4 linked regions of the Arabidopsis thaliana genome follow. The protein of the gene in region 2 interacts with the protein of the main gene of each other region in a biochemical or structural test. Each region holds a gene or a part of one and is shown on either strand. Other genes may lie near its edges. The genes, in order: KAN, MPK2, MYB57 and AT3G27290.

Region 1 (7,437 bases), on a different chromosome or scaffold from region 2:
TGGCTTCTTGGCACTCTTCTTTCTCTGCTTGACTGGTGTTTACATTGGAGCCTTATCCGTTGCTGCATTCGTCATCTCTACCGCTACAGTTTCTGCTGTCGTTTCTGTCTTAATAGCTTCAGGTTGGTTATATACTCTGCTCTGATTCTGTTTTGGAATCTTGTAATGAGTGACACTCCAAGTTACTTCCTATATGTATTGAAGAATGAAATGAATTTGGTATTGGATCAGGTTGGATTGGGTTTTTCTATGCGGTGTGGTTGGGAACAAGAGGAAGCCTACGCTTGGCTAAGCAATCGGTTTCAGTGGTGGGATCAGCCATTTCAGGTAACACTATCAGTCGTCATCAACACCAAGACCGGGAGGTAAACATCGAATCAACCAACTGAGAATCCGTCCTTACCGCGTTTGTAAATAAACCCCGACTTTTGGTTGTTAATGGAAGCTTGATATAAATATGATCTATGGAGTTTGTTGTGAAGAAGCAGAGAAAGAATGATAAGAATATTTCAAAATGCAACTTGAAACATTTTGTGATCAATGTCTACGGATTTTTGGATCTATGTATGCATACATTGTGTGTTTTATGTACTTAAGAAAGAATAATGATCAGTATCCATATGAAATCTCAACTCAGATCTCTCCCTCTCTCTACATTTCGGCTGCAAAAAAAAAAAAAAAAACTTGAAACCCTCTAGCCAACCAAGAGGCTTTCAAAAAAATATCCAAACTTTCACCACATTTTGATGATCTTCCAATTATATAACTTATGATCACACCACCAGATCAACCTCAAAAAACTAAAAACCCGAAAACCCAAAAACAAAAACTCATACATTGATCATCCACTTTATAATCAAATCATCAATGGAACTTGAGAAGAGGAACCTCCAAATTTCTTCATTTTGGTAGTGATATTCTCTCTCTCTGTGCAAAAATCAACACTCTTGAGCAGCTTGGCTCTCTACGTGTTCTCCTTCTTTTACGCTGAGAATTTCATCGTCACAAAGATATATACTGCATACATGTTTCTGAGTATATATAGAGAGAGAAAGATGAAACAAAAAAATAAAAAATCCAATATATATAAAAATCCAAATTGATCAAGAAAGTCATTTCTCGTGCCAATCTGGTCTGCCTAATGTAAACTCCAAACTTGGATTTTCACAACTAAGATTTCCACACCTCTTTGCTTGATCATTCGACCTTTGCTCCTGCCAATTTTAACTTTATATTAGATTAAAGGACAAAAAAAACACTAAGAAAGGCAATATCTATCTATACAAATATGATTAGATGGGAATTATCAGAACCTGATTTTGAATGCTGGATCTTTGATAATGAGAGATCATTGATGTTGATGAAGTTCTGATCATTGTATCTATGTCGCTTGAGCAGTTATTACTTAATGGCCATGTCTCTCTATTTTATGATTTAAGAAAAGAAAGAAAACAAATTAAGGACAAATTGTATTTATTGATGTATAGATGCCCTAAAAATAAAATAAAAATCACTACACACAAATTGCGTTTTTTTGCAACTTGCTATATGACCACAATCTACATGTCATACTTATGAAGCAAAATTCGTTTATCCTAGTCTTCCTAGATGAATCTTAAGAACCCAAACCAAATTATAATTAAAAAAAAAAACTTGGTACATATAATTAAAGTTCATCAGCCATAAACCCTAACCAATTTCATCTCATTGTAACCAAAACCATCACTCAAATTTTTTCCCCTTAAACTGAACGAAAACAAACTTAAAATATCATCTAAAAACTATTTTTGTTAGAAGAAAATGGATAGATGTGGGATAAACCAAACAATTGTCGTATGAATTACTTGGTAGGAAGTAGGAACAATTAGGTGAGAGAACCCTAAACCCTATCTCAAATTTCGTCAATCTTATTCTTACCTAATGTTTATATATACTTATCGTGTGTATAATACATGTACGTATATACGTAAACGTACCGTGAAGAGTTACTCCAACGAGGTTGTGTGGAAGAAATGTCAGTTTCTTGATGAAGAGAAGTATCATCAGATTGTGCCCTTTGATCCGTCGATGATTGATGATGAACTTCGTTTCCATTTATGCCCATTTCTTCTTCTCCTGACCCATCTGAAATTTTATTTTAACTTTTTATCAAGTTTCGTTGTCTCAAATCAATCACTTATACCCTATAAGGAATCTCATTTAAAACTGAACGATTCTTGTAAGCTTTTTTGTAAAAGACAATGCAGTGAAGAAATTGTTTTTCTTAAAAAATAATTTCAGCATTTCGTGTTGACCAACCTAATATGTGTCTCAAAAAATAGTTTTACAGACTCGAAAATTGTGCCAAATAAACTTTTAATTGGTTAAAGAAAATCCATATGAAACAAGTGGTTTTTCTTTATTCTTAATTCATGAACTTTGCTTGGATATGAGTTTACACTTCACACGTTTTAAATTTAATCTTTTACTCGATTTTTTTTTCTTAGAGAACATCAATATTGGGGATATATGTTTGTTTGGTTTGCTTTGAACTTTGACCACTCAACTTTAGGGTTCAATCAAAGGAAGGATAAAAGCCTTGAGCTTGACCAATATCTTAGGGCTCGTTTTTTATTATTTTGGGGAAAGGGAATAGTAGAAATAGTAGAATCAAATAGTAAAAATAACAGAAATAATTTCACGTCATTATATCTCTACATACATACAAATATCGAATCACAGCTTCAAATTCTGATTGAGAACTAATTTCTTATAAATATTGTAGTCAAAAAAAGCTATAATAGTGATTATATTGGACCTCCATTTCTATAAAATTCTGGTGGAGAATCCTAAGCTTTATTGTATATCTGTCTTATGTTATTTTTTGGTGAATTGTATATCTTTCTTATTAAAAGCCAGTACCATTTCTTTAGCATATATAAAGCTGAAAAAAGCTATACTAAAGAAATGTGAATATGCATAACATTATATGTGTGTGTGTGTGTAAAGGAATCACACGTACCTGATGAAGCAGCAGGCTTGTTAGTGGTCTTAACAGTTCGATACATCTGCAAAAAAAAAAAAATTAAAGGCATGATGAGAGCTCTAAAACTAGAATAAACCATAAATCCAATTAAAGACACAGGAAAAAACCAAAATAAATATCGGACAAAAGATACTGATAAACTAAATAGATTTATTTTTGTATAATGTGATACAGAATTACAGATGACAAACTGGAGAGATATATGCAGACACATATGAACTTTATATTATTAAATAAATAATATATGTAGTACATATGTGTGGTTTTCTGGGTTTGTCTTGGAACTGATGATGTATATATAATTAATTATTTATGATTTTAAGACCACGAGGTTGATGTCTGAAAGAAGGTTGAGTAATAGAAAGATTGTATTATTATCATTGAGTAATGATGACTACTTTTGTCCCCTCTTCCTAATTTAAAAAAGAAAAAATGAATTATAATCCAAAATAACTTCTATCTATCATCTCAATTCTCCATTGTTTAATAATTCTCTGAAAGGTTTCAGTCACTTAAAGCTATAACTACTCTCTCTTTTTCTCTCTTTAAATTCATTCAACTGCTTCAATTTTCTTGGCAATTGTGCCATCTCTTCCAAAATATGACTAAACTTAAAGCAAAGACAAAACAAGAAAATAAAAGTAACACATCAGAATTGGAGCTCTATTCATTGCTCTGATGATATATACGTACACAAAAACCTTGTTTCTTGATTCAGCTGTTTTTGTGCAAAACGCAAAGGAGAAGAGAGTGACATGATGGTGATGAAAACTATGAAATATCCCTAATTATAGAAAATCTTGATTGGTAACGAACTAACTCGACTAGATTAAACCTAAATTAACAAATAAAAATTGATTCTTTGTTGTGTCTAATTTAATTTCAAATAGAGTATAGATTATACCTGCAAATGGCTCTTCACATGTGCTAAAGTTAAGTCTTTTACATCCATGAGCTCAAGAACCGACTTTGGAGTTGCTCCTAGAATCACAACAACAACAAGAATAAAAGATTTAAGACTTTGAGAATAAAGTGAAGAAAAATGGGAATGATCATTAGAATGTGATTATGATATAAATGTGTACTTTCATGGCCGCCTAGAAGCTCAACAGCGTGAACAAACCGCGCGTGGAGGCTACTAGTCCAACGCATCCTTGGAGCTCTCATGCTTCGCTTTGTCGGCATCTTAGGCAAGAATCTTGATCTGATCATCCCATGATGATGATGGTTATGGTGATGAGGAGAAGACGAATCTGAAGATCCAACGACTCCATACTGATTATGATGATGATGATGATGCAAAGGAACACCTTTAAGCCTCGGGGAAGATTGTAATGATCGGTAAGCGTTGTTGTAGCCGGAAGATGAGTTTAAGATTGAGATTTGATCCATGTCTCCTCCTCCAAGAGAAGGTAATGAAGAGTTTTGTTGGTGGAAAGGGAATGAACGGTTGTGATAGACCGGGATGCCTCTAATTGGACGGTGGAGATTACTAATCTCGGATTCATCGACCCTTTGATGAACACCATTGATGATAGGGTTGTTGTAATGCTGCTGATGAGGAAGATTAAGGGTTCTTCGATCAGGACAATGGAAGATTCTTGCTGTTGGATGGTTATGATGAGATAAAGAGAGTTCAAAGTTGGACGATCGGTTGTTGTTTTCGAGTTGGGAGGATCTTCTTGAAGATTCTTTAGAAGATTCATTGTGATGGTATTGATGAATATCTGGGAGACTGATGTGGAGAGATAGATCAGGGAGAGTAGTTGTTGTGTTTGTTTTGGTTTTCTCTAGAAAAACACCTTCCATAGACATAATTAAAGAAACCTTTCTCTTGCTATTGCTGCCACTGAAGTTGTTGATGATGATAAGGATGATGATGGTGATGATGATGATGACTATTCTTTTGTTTTTTTTTTCTCCTGAGGGTTTTGCTTAGGAATTTAAAATGATTTTCTCTAAGGAGAAGAGAAAGCAGAGAGATTCTTTAGGCAAAGAAGTCAAAAGGGTGTCTGAAAGATTTGATATTTTTTTTGTTCTCTTTCTCTCTCTATATCTCAGAAAGAAAGGAGAAAGTGAGAGAGATGAAGTTAAAGAGAAGCTTAGAAGAAGAGAGAGAAGTTGAGTGATGATCTTCTTGAAGAAACAAACATGCTCAAAGTAAGACGCAGAGAGAGAGAAAAAGAAGGAAGAGAGAGATAGAGAGAGGTATGTGTGTTGTGAAGCAAAGGCAGAAGAGAAAAAAGGAATAAAACTAAATCCAGGAAAATTAAAAACAGGTAAGAGAGAGAGATATATGTGTGTTCGTTCATGTACATGTATGTGTATGTGTATGTGTGAGATGTTGTTCCTCGAGAGTATATCTTGGAAAACGATAGTTGAGAAAGGGTAATATTGTCATTCGCTATATTCCAAATATTGGAAGCTTTTTATTTTATTTTGGGATGGTATTTCAATTTGTCTTTTTCACCTTTCAACAAGTAAACCCATCTATCAATATAATATAAATTATTTTACGGCTAGATTAATTGATTTCATGTTTTAGTTTATTCGTTTAAACTACTGAAATTTTGATTTCCATAGATAAAGTTGAAGAATAATAGCAAAATAAATCTTGTTTTCTATCAATTTAGTAGATGAAATTTTCAAATGTAAAGTGTATTTAATAATCGACCAATTTCATAGATGAAAAGCATACAACTTTTAACAATAAAAATTAATACGATTATCATCCATTAAAACCTTAACAATTTGAGTAATAAATCAAAAACTCAATTGATCTTTAAAATAATAATGTTCACAGATTATCATGAAGAATAATAATTAAAAATGTTGGAGAAGAGTACAAGAGGAGAGAGAATAAAGGGTCGCTCTCTTCTGTCCTATCTAATCTATAGTCAAAGCAAAAGCCAAAATTAAATTAAATAAATAAATAACAAGAAGAAAAAAACAAACACAAGACCTATTCTAAAATAAATAAAAAGTTTCATTATAACCAAAAAAAAATAAAATAAAAAAAGAGAGAGTGCTTTGATTTTGGTACCCCGGAGACGACGGGATACATATGTTGAGACTTGAGAGAGAGAAAGAGACTGTGTCCTCTCTGACTCCTTTTTTATTTTCTCCCCCACTCTCTTCGCTTCTCACTTCACTCTCTATTCACATCTTATTATAATAATTCCTTATACGATTTTGGAATCAAACAAATTCAAGTTTCTGACCGTAGATTGTTCAACTATACCTAAAGAGATAAATATACATTAAATATCAGTACGTTCTTGAGTTTATGAATAGCTCGTATAGACATTTAGTTCCTAGAGATGTGACTACAATATCAACCGGCTACTTGTTTGACCGTTTTGTGTTGTCTATCAATTAGAGCCAAATCGAAGTCATATACATGTCGCTTTAAAATACGTACTTGAAAAGAAATAAAATTAGGCAGATTTATATATATTTTTGACTTGTTTGTGTCGAATGTAATAATGTATGCATTCTAGTGTTTCTGTTTTCTTTGTACTCGACATTTTTACATTCACATTGTTCGTTTATAATTCTACAAAAAAAATTATGGAGTTGACTTTATCTACTGTGAAACAGAAATATGTCATACTGAAAAATAATGAAAAATATACAAAATTGAATAGTATTTAACTATTCGTATGTTTTTGTCAAAGAATTATTATATTTTTTTATCCCACTTTTAATTTGGAATATATAAACTCTGTGTTTTGCCTTCCAAAGGTACGGAAATTATTGTCTTAGAAAGTATCTTTCTCTTCAAATACATACATATATGCATACGTGTGTACAATACAAGGTGCCCTCGTACGTATATAAACCAAGTGTCATATAAAGAATTCGATCAATTATTGTAACGTAACATGCATGCTTTTAGATTATACGTGAAGTTAAATATATATTAGACCTAAGAAAATACTCAGCCAGAAAGTGGATTTTGTTTGTTTCCCTTAATAAACAAAAACAAGTGAACCCTAAAGAACCTAAATATTTGCTTCTAATTCCCTTTTCATTCTCCCAAATATTCCTTCTCAATTTAATAACTCTTTTCTAATTTTCTTTAAATTGTCTTCTAAGAAAAAAAATAAACTATTCACTCCTCACATGACCATATCAATACAACATCTCGACAAATCATTAATGCCTTGAAATAAAAATATGATAAATTGTAAGACTATGTTTATATATCAGGAAATTTAAATAAGTGAGATTTTATTCGTTGATTATACAGTAATATATATTTTTCTTATTAGATATAAATTTTAATTATTGGAAAGTAAAGAAGTACAGTATGCTTGCAGTTTTTAGACGTTTTGCTGCATGTGAGTTAAACAAGATACTATTATGATCTATTTAAAAAGCATTTTCAATCAAAAACAGTATAACAACCC
Region 2 (4,741 bases):
CGTGGGACAGAGATATCAAATCAATCACTAGGGTTTACCAACTCAAGGATTTGGGTAATGTTCCTGCATTGTTCTGCATTTCAATTTTAGGTGGATGGGTTTTGGTTATGTGTTTGATATCATTCGTTTTTATTCAGAACAATTAGTAGAAGTAGAGAGCAAGGTGGTACCTTTGATCATCGCAGTATCAGGAGATGTTGGCTCTGAGACTCCTATTAAGTGTGAGCATAGTTATGTTCTCGGTGTATTTCTCAAGAGAACGGTATGTATGAATTGGATTAGATAATCTAGTTTTTCGTTTCTGTGATTTTGGATATGTTAAAAAGAAACGATTTTTTTCAGGCAGAACAACAGGTTTTGAGACGTAATTGGAGATTTTCATGGGTTCGAAATAGTACATTGATGCAGCCGATGACTAAGGAAGTCCCCTGGTATCTGGTATGTCTGTTGGACTTTGATTGGAGTGTATTACTTTCTAAAGTCATTTACAAAATATGATATTGGTTGCCTATAGGACGACGGGACAGGTCGTGTGAATGTAGATGTATCTCAAGGTGAATTAGGCTTGGCGTTGACGGTTGGTAGTGATGTATTTGAAAAGGCAGAGCCGGTATCGCTTGTTCAAGGAGCGTTGGGTTATCTTAAAGGCTTTAAGGTCTTTTCTTTTCCTTTCCTACCACTTTTCATTGATTTGCTTTTGTTTTGACAATGCTTATACATTGTGGCACCATTGTTGTCTATAGATACTTGGAGTAAGACACGTTGAGCGTGTTGTCCCAATTGGTACACCGCTTACAGTTGTTGGTGAGGTATGTCTTTTATCTGTTAGCGGTCCAAAATACGTTTTATATCTCTCTTTGTTATGTTGCTTACCATGTTAACAGGCTGTTAGGGATGGCATGGGGAATGTCAGGATTCAAAAACCTGAGCAAGGACCTTTCTACGTCACTTATATACCGCTAGATCAGCTCATCTCTAAATTGGGAGATTTGTCAAGGTTGTTTCTTTTCTCTGTTTTTGCCTATTCTTTTCTTCGAAAACTATGATTGAAAAAAATTCTAAAAGATCTCTTTCTTTTGGCAGGAGGTTCAAGTATGCCTCCATGGGTTTAACTGTTCTTGGTGTGATTCTTATTTCAAAGCCTGTGATTGAATATATTCTAAAGAGAATTGAAGATACTCTAGAAAGAAGGCGGCGACAATTCGCACTGAAAAGGTATGACGCACCCTAACCACAGCCACGTATGAAGTATTCATTGCGAGTTGCGAGTTGCGAGTTAAGTGTTGGGTAACTTGTTGCAGAGTTGTTGATGCAGCTGCTAGGAGAGCCAAACCAGTAACTGGAGGTAGTAATAGTATCTATCCATTAGAGTTTGTACTTTGTAGTAGTAACATGTGAATCCTTTTTCTGCATACACTTGGAATTGCTCTGCTTACAAAAACGTCTTACCAGGTGGTACAAGCAGAGATGGTGATACACCTGATCTCTGTGTGGTTTGCCTTGACCAGAAGTATAACACCGCTTTTGTTGAGTAAGTATAAGACCGCTTTTCTTCTAAAAGCTCTTGAAAACCCTCTCACTGATCAAACATGGCATCTTTTGATTCCTCTTTTTGTTTGGTTTGGACTTGTAGGTGTGGTCATATGTGCTGCTGCACACCATGCTCCTTGCAACTAAGGACCTGTCCTCTTTGCCGGGAACGAATACAACAAGTTTTGAAAATTTACCGCCATTGAAGGACAAAACTCAGAACGATTTTTACAAGCGAACAATTACTAGTCTTGTACATATAGTAAAGCCTTTGTATCATGAGTTTTTGACTAGAAATTTTTTTGCATTGATAGATTGTGATTGAACAAATGCTAATATAAATTTCAAGCTTAGATTTACATTTACTAATGAAGTTATATAATCACGTTTCGATGTTAAAATAAGAAGTGAAAAAACGTGAACGGCAGGATTCGAACCTGCGCGGGCAAAGCCCACATGATTTCTAGTCATGCCCGATAACCACTCCGGCACGTCCACTTTTTGTTAATTCCTCACTATCTTAAATATCTAATTACCGTTAATTATTACAAATCAGGTTGGGCTTAATTAAGCCCAAAGTTAAAGACAGATTAGTGAAGGAGACAGAGAAAGAAACAGCTCTAAAATGGTAATGAACGAGAAACTAGAGAGTCAACGGTCATAGCGTTGACCAAATCTCTCACTCTCACCAGCCAAATCTCTCCAACTTCCTCTTTCTCTCCACCCAAATCTCGCCGGCGATCGTCACTGACGAATCTGATTCGTCCCCAACACTCAACGGGTAAGCTCTCTCTGCAAAATTCAGATCGTTCTAGCTCAATCTCAACATCGGATCAAGATTCAACTTTTGTTCTTTTCTCTTAAACAAAGCTTTTGATCATTAGTGAAATCTAAAATATTAACCTTTGAATCTGTAAACTTAAGCTTAGAGAACCCTAAGATCAAAACTAAAAATTTGATCTTTCATTGTCACTTGTTGGAAGCAATTCAAAATTCTGTGTTGTGTATATTTTCAAATTTGTGGATTGTTCCAATTTCGATAAAGTTTTGATTTTTATTCCTTTTGTTGTGTGTTTTTATAAGGAGGTAGAAGAATGGCGACTCCTGTTGATCCACCTAATGGAATTAGGAATCAAGGGAAGCATTACTTCTCAATGTGGCAAACACTTTTCGAGATCGATACCAAATACGTGCCTATCAAACCGATAGGCCGAGGCGCGTACGGTGTGGTTTGCTCTTCGGTTAACAGAGAGAGTAATGAGAGAGTGGCGATCAAGAAGATCCACAATGTGTTTGAGAATAGGATTGATGCGTTGAGGACTCTTAGGGAGCTCAAGCTTCTACGTCATCTTCGACATGAGAATGTGGTTGCTCTTAAAGATGTAATGATGGCTAATCATAAGAGAAGCTTTAAGGATGTTTATCTTGTTTATGAGCTTATGGATACTGATCTTCATCAGATTATTAAGTCTTCTCAAGTTCTAAGTAATGACCATTGCCAATACTTCTTGTTCCAGGTATGTGATTTGTTTGCATTTGCTTTTACCATTAGTGTGTGTTGTTTGCATTTGGTGTTTGCATTTACTTGCTTTTTATTTCTTTTGCATAGTTGCTTCGAGGGCTCAAGTATATTCATTCAGCAAACATTCTCCATCGGGATCTGAAACCCGGTAACCTCCTTGTGAATGCAAACTGCGACTTAAAGATATGTGACTTTGGGCTAGCGAGGACGAGCAACACCAAAGGTCAGTTCATGACTGAATATGTTGTGACTAGATGGTACCGAGCACCAGAGCTACTCCTCTGTTGTGACAACTATGGAACCTCCATTGATGTCTGGTCAGTCGGTTGCATATTCGCCGAGCTTCTTGGAAGAAAACCAGTATTCCCGGGAACAGAATGTCTAAACCAGATTAAACTCATCATTAACATTTTGGGTAGCCAGAGAGAGGAAGATCTCGAGTTTATAGATAACCCAAAAGCCAAAAGATACATAGAATCACTCCCTTACTCACCAGGGATATCATTCTCTCGTCTTTACCCGGGTGCAAATGTTTTAGCCATTGATCTGCTTCAGAAAATGCTCGTTCTTGACCCTTCGAAAAGGATTAGTGTCACGGAAGCGCTTCAACATCCTTACATGGCGCCTTTATATGACCCGAGTGCAAATCCTCCTGCTCAAGTTCCTATTGATCTCGATGTAGATGAAGACGAGGATTTGGGAGCAGAGATGATAAGAGAATTAATGTGGAAGGAAATGATTCATTATCATCCAGAAGCTGCTACCATAAACAACAATGAGGTCTCTGAGTTTTGAGATCAAGTCTTTTGCAGGTACTGTTCAGAGAGATCTTTCAACAACTTAAACTTATTTATTTTCATGTTTGCTTCTTGAAATGTTGTTAATAATAGTGTCGAAGAAGAAGAACAATAACTTTAAATTATGTGATATGTTTGTGTCATGGAGCTTTGTTTTGTTTTTGGTTACAAGCTTAAGTGTCTGTAACGTTTGTACATAAGTGTATGTGTCCTTAAAACTTCATACTCTGTCTCTGATCTTATTGTTGGTGATTTTTCTTATTGAAGATTTTCGAATGTTCAAAGAGCAAACCATTGGATTAAATATGATTTTGAAGATAAATGTATTAACACAAAGATATACACTGTTTAAAAAAATTCATGAAATAAAACATATGCATAGAATATCAAAATAAAATTATTTGGGAAATAATTTTCAATGATACATAGAATGTTCCATAGATTCGTAGAATTTTTATAAATGTGTTTTTGACTTTCATGTACCTAATTCTGAATTCAGACTTAGTATATTGTGACATTAATAGAAGTATTAATTGCTTTGTTTGATAAAAATATTTTGATGTCTATCACACACTTAAATTTAACTTAAATGATAGAAAAAATGTCAATAATTAGTAACATTTATGCTTTGGAAAAATATTTTGATGAACAGCGTGTGAATAAGAATCTTTTTTTACTTTTGTAAATGGAAAAATGTAGGACTGCACTAATTATTGAAACCATTGATGTGAAAAAAAAATCAAGAGCCAAAGAGATAAAGATTCTAGAAGACCAAGTCAAGTCTTCTCGTCGATTAATAGTCAATGAATGTTCCTCATCATCATCTCTTTGATTTATGCGTTTGATGTCATTGAGTCATTTCTATACCATTCCGCCAAAAATTCGTTTTAGT
Region 3 (4,172 bases), on a different chromosome or scaffold from region 2:
AGCAATCAGACTTTAACTGCTATAAAGGATTACAGATAGGTAGGATTCTTGATCTTGACACAAGTTTGAGTTAAATAGATTTAGTTCAAGACGGGGCAGGAACAGAGCCAAACAAAGGAATTGTCATTCTAAGTTATACAAACATTGAGCCAGGCATAACTTGAAACTATAGAGTCTAAGTTACTACTATTGCTGTTGTTTTGAATCGTGATGGGTTTTGTTATAACATGGGTTTGCTTTGCAGGGTCTTTGTGGGGACTGTGAGTGCGTTCTGTGTGAAACATGCGGAGTGTCCAGTTATGACGATCAAACGCAATGCCGATGAAACTCCCAGTGATCCAGCTGATGACTAAACAATAACAACGTCCCTTCCTTCTTTGATCTATACAGAGAGAGAGTGCTTTTGTGTGTACAAAATCCAAATTCCTACCCCTATATGTATTTGTATCTGTGTATGTATGTGTGTGTGCAGCTTGTTCCGTTTTCTGAATTGGTTTTCAAACTGAACCAAACTGCTATATATTTGGTTTCTTTGAAAGAGTCCAAACATCAAAAACAACAACAATTTGAAAGAAAAAAAAAGAGTACAGTAGTATATATGCTTTAACGACCAGAAGTTACTCAAACACCACCTCCATATGTATTGAAGATTTAATGATTTAATGCACTTTTCGTATGTAAATTAAATGCAACGACATTTCAGCAATAGAAAAACCAAATAACGTACCATACAAAAAAACCCAGCTGGGGCATATAAATGTATAGGAGGTCTATATATATATCTTAAATCACATGGTGGTCACCATTAAGCAAGTGGACGGGCCACAGATCTTCAACGTTCCAGTAATTCTCGTTTGACTGTTGTTCCACCACATTAAACGTCGTCGTCTTCGCCTGAGAGAAGCTCTCAGCCGTGTCTATGGCTTTGCCGGAGCTGCCTTGCGTCGTCATCCCCGAGCTCTGTGAGTTTCCCGAACAATGATGTTGATGATTCATCATATTTTCCGATGACACTTTCATGTGTCTCTGAATCTTTGTCCTCCAGAAGTTCTTTATCTCGTTGTCCGTTCTTCCCGGAAGATGCTTCGCAATCTTCGACCACCTAATGCATATTATAATATTACTTAGCAACATAAAATTAGGTTTAAGATTTGATTTACGTATGCATGTACTAATTAGTGAAACTATATAAGACCTGTTTCCAAGCTTAGCATGAAGCTGAATGATCAAAAGCTGTTCTTCTTCGGTTATGTTCCCTCGCCGCACATCTGGTCGGAGATAGTTCAGCCACCGGAGCCGACAACTTTTTCCAGTACGTTTTAGACCTTATTAACAAAATAAAAACAAAATTTAGTTATATACATAGAAAACATCATCAAAACATGATTTGAATACGTGCAAAAAAGCATACCAGAGGCTTTGGCGACAGAGTTCCAAAGACCTTCACCATGATTAAGGATGTAATTAAAGAGGATGAAATCTTCTTCCATAGTCCAAGGTCCTTTTCTCACTGTTCCTTCTTCTTCTTTCTGTGACGTTATTGTCGCTTTCACTCTCCCTTTCTTCTTCATCGTCGTCTCCATCTTTCTTTCTGTTGTGTATGTGTGTATTTTTGTCTATGCAATCAATAAAGAAAACAGAGAAGAGAGAGAGAGAGAGAGATACTCGAGGCGGGAAGATGATCGACGAATGTTTTCTTTTATAGGGTTGAGACTTGCGACTATATAGTCCTCCAATTGGTAATAATACACATAACCTTAAAAATTAATAAGTAACAGAAACTATCAATAACTTTACACTCGTTTTTCTTTTTTTATGAAAACATATGCATTAATATGCAAAATCAATGAAAATATGAAGTATTTGATTACAAAACTTAATCATATATATAACTCTAAAGTTGCCAAGAAAAACTAAACATCAAATTAATAATTAAACGAGAGAACTTGGCGTGATTAGTTCACGACCACACGAATTGTAAACAGTGAGAAGGAAGAAAGTACAATCTTAAATCAAAGCAAAGCTTGACAGAAACATTACACTGAGTTTATGTATATAACGACTTCTTCCTAACCCTCTATCACTAATATATACTAACCATTATTTATTTAGAACTCACAATCAATGAAGTTCTTTCTTCTCTAAATTTTGAAACTTATATTGATATTTTTATATTCTTGCTATATTTTACCACATCTAAACTACAGTCTGAAATATGTGTTTTATTTTTTTCAACGTTATCTTTTTTTGTTTGTGTGTGTTAACGAGTTTACATTTTATACAAAGAAAATATAAGTAGTATAGATAGAGAAAATGAAATGAAAGTTGTAATAGCGTTTGCTTTTGGGCAATTAATTGAGAAGGTTTGGTGTAATTCATATGCCAAATTTAGTAAGTGAGGTTTTGTGGCTGGAAATCTAAATGATGTGTCAGCTTACAATTCAATTAAATTATTGTAAGAGAGTATAAAAATTGGGTTATTAATATTCTTTTTCAAGAATAATTTAACCAACTACTTATCGTATATTTTGAGTTTGATGATTTAACCAACACATACACTAACTGAAGTTTAAAACTAAATAATAGTTGGTTTACTATAATTCGTAAAAAAAAACCTTGAACTGTCATTCTATGTATAATGATTTTATAATGTTAGTTTGTACTTTGGTTGATGATGATTTATTAAGGATAAACTCCTAAAAGAGTAATCTCCTAACAATCAATGAAAGATTAATATTGATAGTGAAGATAAGCCATGTGTGAACATGTAGTGTGAGCTTTGATTTTAGATTGTAGGAGTTCATGATTCGTTTAGTTGTAAAAGGAAAATTAATTTGTAACCACAAAAAACAAGAGTCTATTTGGAGATTAATAGGCTGTCCTCAATTATATTATCATCAAAGTACACAAGACATACACTTTCATCTAAGCCATAGACTCACCAAACTTCTTTTTCTAATGTTCATTTTTATTTCTTAATTTTTATAATATGACACTTTTGAAAATGAAATACACATAAATAATCCAAGTTTTTTTTTTTTTTTTAATGCTTTTAGATAGTTGTGATTTTGTTCAGCTCGTATTTGGATTAAGATATTACTTGGGTTTTTAATTTGATTATTTCGATTGGGTAGAATCAGTTTATCAAATCGAACTACACTAAACCAAATCTAACAATACTAAACCGAAATCATAATATTACCACTTTGATTTGTAATTTAAATGCTAGAGAATCCCACAGTATTAGAAGAAAGTCGTTCGTATCTAATGAAACATTCTTACCAATCTCTGAGCTGCAATAATAAATAAGATGAAATACAAACTGTAAGATATCAATTGTAGTTTTGAGCGTAAATTTCCAATGGGAGGGAACAGTCTTCTTGGTCTTGTTTTTTTTTCTTTTGTTTCTTCATCGGCCAAAAAATATATAATGTCACAATGATAAGGGAAATCCCCCACAACACAATCTTCTGTCACTTGGCTTTATCAGAGCTTTGTATCTCTCTTTTCATCTGTGTTTCATCATCATCGTCTCGTGGAAGCTGCGAGGAGGAGATCCGGTGGAAGACGGTGGTGGAGCTCTGTTGAATCTCTCAGGGCTACGGCTCCTTTCTCGCTCTCTTCCCCATCCATTGCTGCTTCTACTTTACATCAAAAATTTATACAATCTCAAACTCACAATCATATTTTCAGTGGCATACAGAGATAAATTTACGAAGATGAGGTCCTATGTTAATTTTACCTGTCACGGGAAGCAAAGCTACCTCTGCCACCATAACCAGAGTCGCCACCACGACCACGGCCGCCGGAAGGAGGTCCCCAACGACTGAATTTGTTCATTCCCCCACCACCACGTGTAGCCATTTCGCGGATCTGAGGAGGAACTCGCTGGTTTGCTCCTTCCAAAATCTTGATCAGATCCGAAGCATGTTTCGAATCTTGATCACCAAAGAATGTGAATGCCTGACCAGTCGCTCCAGCTCTTCCTGTTCTTCCGATTCTATGAACATAGTCTTCCACTCCATTGGGGAAATCATAGTTTACGACCGCCCTGTGATCTCAAATCGTATTAGCTAATATAATCATCAAGTCACATAATTTAATCATTTGTTTTACAGGACTGGGAGGATTTGGATTATATAAATACCTGATGTCCTTAACGTCCAGACCAC
Region 4 (4,714 bases), on a different chromosome or scaffold from region 2:
TTTGGTAGAAGATTTAATATTATTTACGATTTTATCTCCTTGTAGTGATTTATTTTACAGCTAAATTACAATTTTGACAAATTTCCTTAATTTTTTTTTTAAATGAGTATAAGAAGTTCCATTTTTTCAATATTTGTATATCTTGTAATTTATAAACCAAAAGTTTAACCGCAAATAACACCTTTTTTTTTTGTTGCATTAAGCATCTATCATTATAAATCAAACTTTTAGACATTTTGTTTTTCCTTTTATAAGTTTTTATTTTTCTTTGTTAATAGAGTGTTTTATGAATAATAAATCTAAGTGTCATATTGCTATATATCAGGAATTATTATTTCTAAAAATAGAAGAAGAAATGAGAGATAATCCGTAAAAAATGCCTATGAAATTGTTTAATGAAAAGAAACATTCATTATTAATTTATATCATAATTCTCTTTTTTCATATAACTTTGATATGTTTCTTTATTAAAAATATGTTATTTAAACGTAATAATTACCTACATGATATTATGCATTATACACTGGATGTACAAACTGCGAATAAGTATTGGAATATGAGAGGTATTATTAAGTAAACTAGGTTTGGATGAAGTGACTAGTGAGGATGGTTGGGAGATCTTGCAATGAAAGTTTGTGATCATGGGCTCATGTTTCCAGGGAATGTACAAGCAGGAGTGGATTGATAAGAGATTGATCCATTTTGAAAATTATACAAGTCATTTAACAAAAGCTACATATGGAGGAGATTAAAAGACTAATTAATGATAATGTAAAATAACTCTGATATATTCTTTATTCTCTTCTCTTTTCTTGTAAGTTCTACTTATTTCCCATTTGAATCCTGGTGCTTCAACTTTCAAGTAAAGCTCTAGTCTTTGCTTCTCTTCATCTCTCATGATCAAGTTTGACTCGAGTCCGTTGCAGAATCAAGTTTAGCTCAGATCTTTCATGATGCTGTAGATGAAGACTAAACACCCTTCTGAGTCTTATCATGTTTCCATTTTTTGTTGCAGCTCTTCTTATTGACTTAGGTTTGATACCTCAAGCACCAAGACTCTTCATTCTTCAGAAAACAGTGTATTGAGGATCAAAGTAATGTGTTAAGCTTCGGTTTTGACTTCAAATAAACTATTATAAGCGGTTAGACCTCTTCTCAATGCATACCACACAGCTGAATGCAAAACAGAACGGCTTGTTTTCACAGTCATTTAAGCAACTCCCACACTCATGGCAACGTTCTATGCAGACAACGCAAGCTCTGCAAGATGACTTAGAATAAGGATATTGACCCTTCAATGGACATGTATCTGCTGGACAATCAAATACCAGACTTGGTTTCTCACACCAGGGGCATATCTCGAGGTCAGTAACTCGATCATCCTCTAAATAGAATTCTGATCTACAAGACGTATAGAATCTCTTCTTCCTCTCTTGTAAACCCACTTTAGCATCTCCTCCTAGCAATAAGTTGAGCTCTTTAAACTGCTCCTTTGTGAAATACAACGCCCCACCAGTGATTAGGCTTTTGACTCCAAGACGGTTTGAAGATTTTAAGTCCCTTAAAGTTGACACTAGTCCTGCTGTGCTTAGTCTAAGACAACCAGATACACTCAGCTGCAAAAAAACAGACACACATGAACAAACAACACAGAATCATATAACAAGATTGGTTCCATCATTCGATCAAACTAACCTTAGTAAGATGTGGATTGCTAGCAAGAACTTGCTTCAAGCCATAATCAGTGATACCAACACATCCTCCAAGATTCAAACATCGAACACCGCCTAGAGCACGGCGTGTTAACTTCAAAAGAGACTCATCAGTAACTCTATATTGAAGAAATGAGTCATTAAGATCAATACTTGTCCAGAAAAAAGGTTCCTTTCCAACCGAATCACGCAAAGACCTACAAACTACTTCAACCGCAAGAATCTCTTTCAACTCTAGATATGGAAGAACCAACTCAAACGCGTCATGAGCTTCACCACCACCACCACCATCATCATCATCATCACCATCATCATCATCATTATTATAAAACCAACTTAGAGTCTCGAACAACATCTGATCAACAACACCAATTTCTTTCTGATTCTCATGAAACCAATCAGAGATTGTGTTCAAAGTCGATCTAACTCTCATACAAAACGGATCCTCAGGCAAAGTATGATCTTCTGAGACTAAACCAATCTGATTCTCATGAAACCAATCTGAGATTGAATTCAAAGTCGATCTAATGTTCATACAAAAAGGATCATCAGGCAAACCCACAAAATCATCCCCAAATTCGCCTAAACCCAATTCTAATTTTCTGTAATCGTTATAAGAACCTCGAAGCCTTTCGTAATTAACCTCCATTAACGAATCTCTCAATGAATTAAGGAAATCGAAATCTGAAACAGATCCAATGAAATAAATATATAAAAAAACGGCGAGAGAATGAATGAATGAATGAATGAATGAGAAGGAACGGGATCGCGTAATCAGCGGGAAAAAGGAAAGAGAAAGGATTCGAGAGGAAGAGGAAGAAGAAGAAGAAGGAATCAGAGAAAGAGTTTCAATTGCAAAGAAGATGACTTTTTTTAGGGCTTTTACTCTGTTGCGATTTTGGCGCGTGTCTAACTATAACTTCTAATTTAATAAGAACAAATAATTAATGAGTTTTTTTTCTTCTTTTTAAATTCTAATTAATGATTACGTCTCTAAATTAGATATTTTCATTCACTCTTTTTTTTTTCTTTATAAGTCAGATCTTCTAATTTATAATCTTTTCAAATTTGCAGGATCTTCTATTTTTTTGGGTTATTAGTTTTATTCCTTGTCCATAATCCTATTGATTAACTATTGTATTAAGTAATTTGCCATTTTGTGAACAAAAATTAAGAAGTTATTTACTTATTATAGATTTTGCACTTTTTAATAAAGGAATTTTTGTTAAAGGGCAAGATTTGATAATTTAATTAAGTGAATGACTTCTTGATTGTTGTTAAATAATTATACTTTTATTTTAAATATTTATGAATATACTTTTATTTTAAAATTTGGTATTTTCGTGAGTAAATAAATTAACTAGAACCAATGGAAGCAGCTTATTAAATGATGTTTAACTTTGTACCCTTAAATTAACTAGAACCCTTAAACAGTTAAACATCACTAGATTTTGACCCGCGGTATACCGCGGGGCTAGGTTTTTAATAAAATTTGTTATATAAAATGTATATGTAAATATTTGTTTTATTAATATTGTTTGCTTTGTTTAGTGTTTAAGATAATGTATATATAGATTTTAGTTGTTATATCTAGGATTTCATCCGTAGTATATCGTTTCGTATTATTATCGATCAAAACTCGTCATACCATCTAATCCTGCATATTGAAATTAAACATATCTAATAGATTTCACTTGTGGTATACCGTCTCGTAATACTATCGACCAAACCCTTCCTACCACAAACCCCGTTCAGTAAAATTAGACATTATTTTGTTATTTTTGTTTTAATAATACTTTAGTTTAAAAAATATTTAATTCAAATCAATTTAAAAGTTTTTTTTCAAATGGTTATTTAATTATTATAAAGTTTATATATTATAATATTATAAACACGTCCTACCATCTAGTCCTACTATCTAATCATGTTCGGTGAAATTATTTTTTTATTTTTTTTAATAATATTTTTATTAAAAAATTTATAATTTAAATCAATTTAAAGTTTTCTTTCAAATGGTTATTTAATTTTTAAATATTTTAACTATTTTGACAAAAATAATTAGGCCATGAAATAAAAGCATATTCTTTTGAATAAGATTTGCTTTGATTTGGTAGTTAATTTTTGCATTTAATAAGTCAGTGGCAGCCATTGTAAATAAGTTCTAATTGCAGGATTTATTTCACAAAATGGCTGCAAAAATGTATATATAGATTTGCGGTCAAAAAAGTTAAACATCATTTAAAATGAAAGAGAATGAAACAGTCGTAATGTGTTTTAATTTTTTTTTTTTTTTTTTTTCGTCGTGTTTTAATTTATTTTAGTAAGTATTATTGCCAATTTCTTAATTAAAATTCTATCTAGTTCAATTTCTCTTTTAATAACAAGAGCAGTTATTCTGTGTGTATACGTCGAATTCATGAGATTCAATCCTCTATTAAGCAGAATAAGATCTCTTAATTTAATTAGCTTTTCCACAAAGCTGTTTTGCATTATGTAAAAAAAGAAAACAAGGGACTAGTACAACAAAAACTACAAGGCATAAACAAACAATGTCCTAGTGAAGATCACTAGTATACATAAGATTCACTTAAACAAACTCCAAACTGGTGAAGAGTTTTTATTCAGCAAGCAAGGAAAAAAAAGAAAAAAAACCCTCTTATTTTGTGTGTACTCATCATCATCATCTCTATGATTATACCATTTACAATGTAGGAGGGATCCAAATGTAGCCATGAGTCTGCATATAACCAGCTTTCTTAAGTAGCTGATCTGCTTCCGCTGGGCCACGGCTACCTTGTTTGTATGGGACCGATTTCACTTCTCCCTTGTCGATCCTGTGAAGCAGTGGAGTGAAGATTTCCCAAGCTGCCTGTTTTGTGATTGATCACATACATATATGTGTTTAAAGATCTTCTCAATATATGGTAAAAATCAGATTGTGGAAGTTTCAAACAAAGTTGAGTGATGTGAAGTATCCAGGGGTTCTAAGTGGTGAAGTAGAA

Evidence for each region.
Region 1: of the proteins of MPK2 (region 2) and KAN, one has a biochemical effect on the other in vitro, tested with the Arabidopsis thaliana proteins (one large-scale study listed by BioGRID).
Region 3: of the proteins of MPK2 (region 2) and MYB57, one has a biochemical effect on the other in vitro, tested with the Arabidopsis thaliana proteins (one large-scale study listed by BioGRID).
Region 4: of the proteins of MPK2 (region 2) and AT3G27290, one has a biochemical effect on the other in vitro, tested with the Arabidopsis thaliana proteins (one large-scale study listed by BioGRID).

Annotation. Positions count from the first base shown.
Region 1 is NC_003076.8:5,406,253-5,413,689, forward strand, and holds KAN (Homeodomain-like superfamily protein), read right to left. Parts: upstream 5,515-7,437; 5' UTR 4,841-5,514; coding exon 4,111-4,840; intron 4,007-4,110; coding exon 3,930-4,006; intron 3,048-3,929; coding exon 3,002-3,047; intron 2,125-3,001; coding exon 1,977-2,124; intron 1,423-1,976; coding exon 1,314-1,422; intron 1,215-1,313; coding exon 1,113-1,214; 3' UTR 611-1,112; downstream 1-610. Other genes in the region: AT5G16550 (voltage-dependent L-type calcium channel subunit), read left to right, coding at 1-122, 232-389. UniProt on the Arabidopsis thaliana protein: Transcriptional repressor that regulates lateral organ polarity. Promotes lateral organ abaxial identity by repressing the adaxial regulator ASYMMETRIC LEAVES2 (AS2) in abaxial cells. Required for abaxial identity in both leaves and carpels.
Region 2 is NC_003070.9:21,881,897-21,886,637, forward strand, and holds MPK2 (mitogen-activated protein kinase homolog 2), read left to right. Parts: upstream 1-2,121; 5' UTR 2,122-2,311; intron 2,312-2,613; 5' UTR 2,614-2,624; coding exon 2,625-3,047; intron 3,048-3,139; coding exon 3,140-3,847; 3' UTR 3,848-4,155; downstream 4,156-4,741. Other genes in the region: ZCF61 (E3 Ubiquitin ligase family protein), read left to right, coding at 11-54, 138-262, 343-438, 515-655, 744-809, 885-997, 1,084-1,215, 1,302-1,345 and 2 more.
Region 3 is NC_003074.8:209,569-213,740, forward strand, and holds MYB57 (myb domain protein 57), read right to left. Parts: upstream 2,237-4,172; 5' UTR 1,584-2,236; coding exon 1,412-1,583; intron 1,326-1,411; coding exon 1,196-1,325; intron 1,103-1,195; coding exon 784-1,102; 3' UTR 551-783; downstream 1-550. Other genes in the region: AT3G01520 (Adenine nucleotide alpha hydrolases-like superfamily protein), read left to right, coding at 245-353; DRH1 (DEAD box RNA helicase 1), read right to left, coding at 3,509-3,644, 3,743-4,051, 4,148-4,172. UniProt on the Arabidopsis thaliana protein: Transcription factor acting redundantly with MYB21 and MYB24 to control stamen filament elongation in the late developed flowers. Repressed at the transcript levels by DELLA proteins.
Region 4 is NC_003074.8:10,078,905-10,083,618, forward strand, and holds AT3G27290 (RNI-like superfamily protein), read right to left. Parts: upstream 2,630-4,714; 5' UTR 2,362-2,629; coding exon 1,696-2,361; intron 1,617-1,695; coding exon 1,134-1,616; 3' UTR 558-1,133; downstream 1-557. Other genes in the region: G6PD5 (glucose-6-phosphate dehydrogenase 5), read right to left, coding at 4,414-4,581.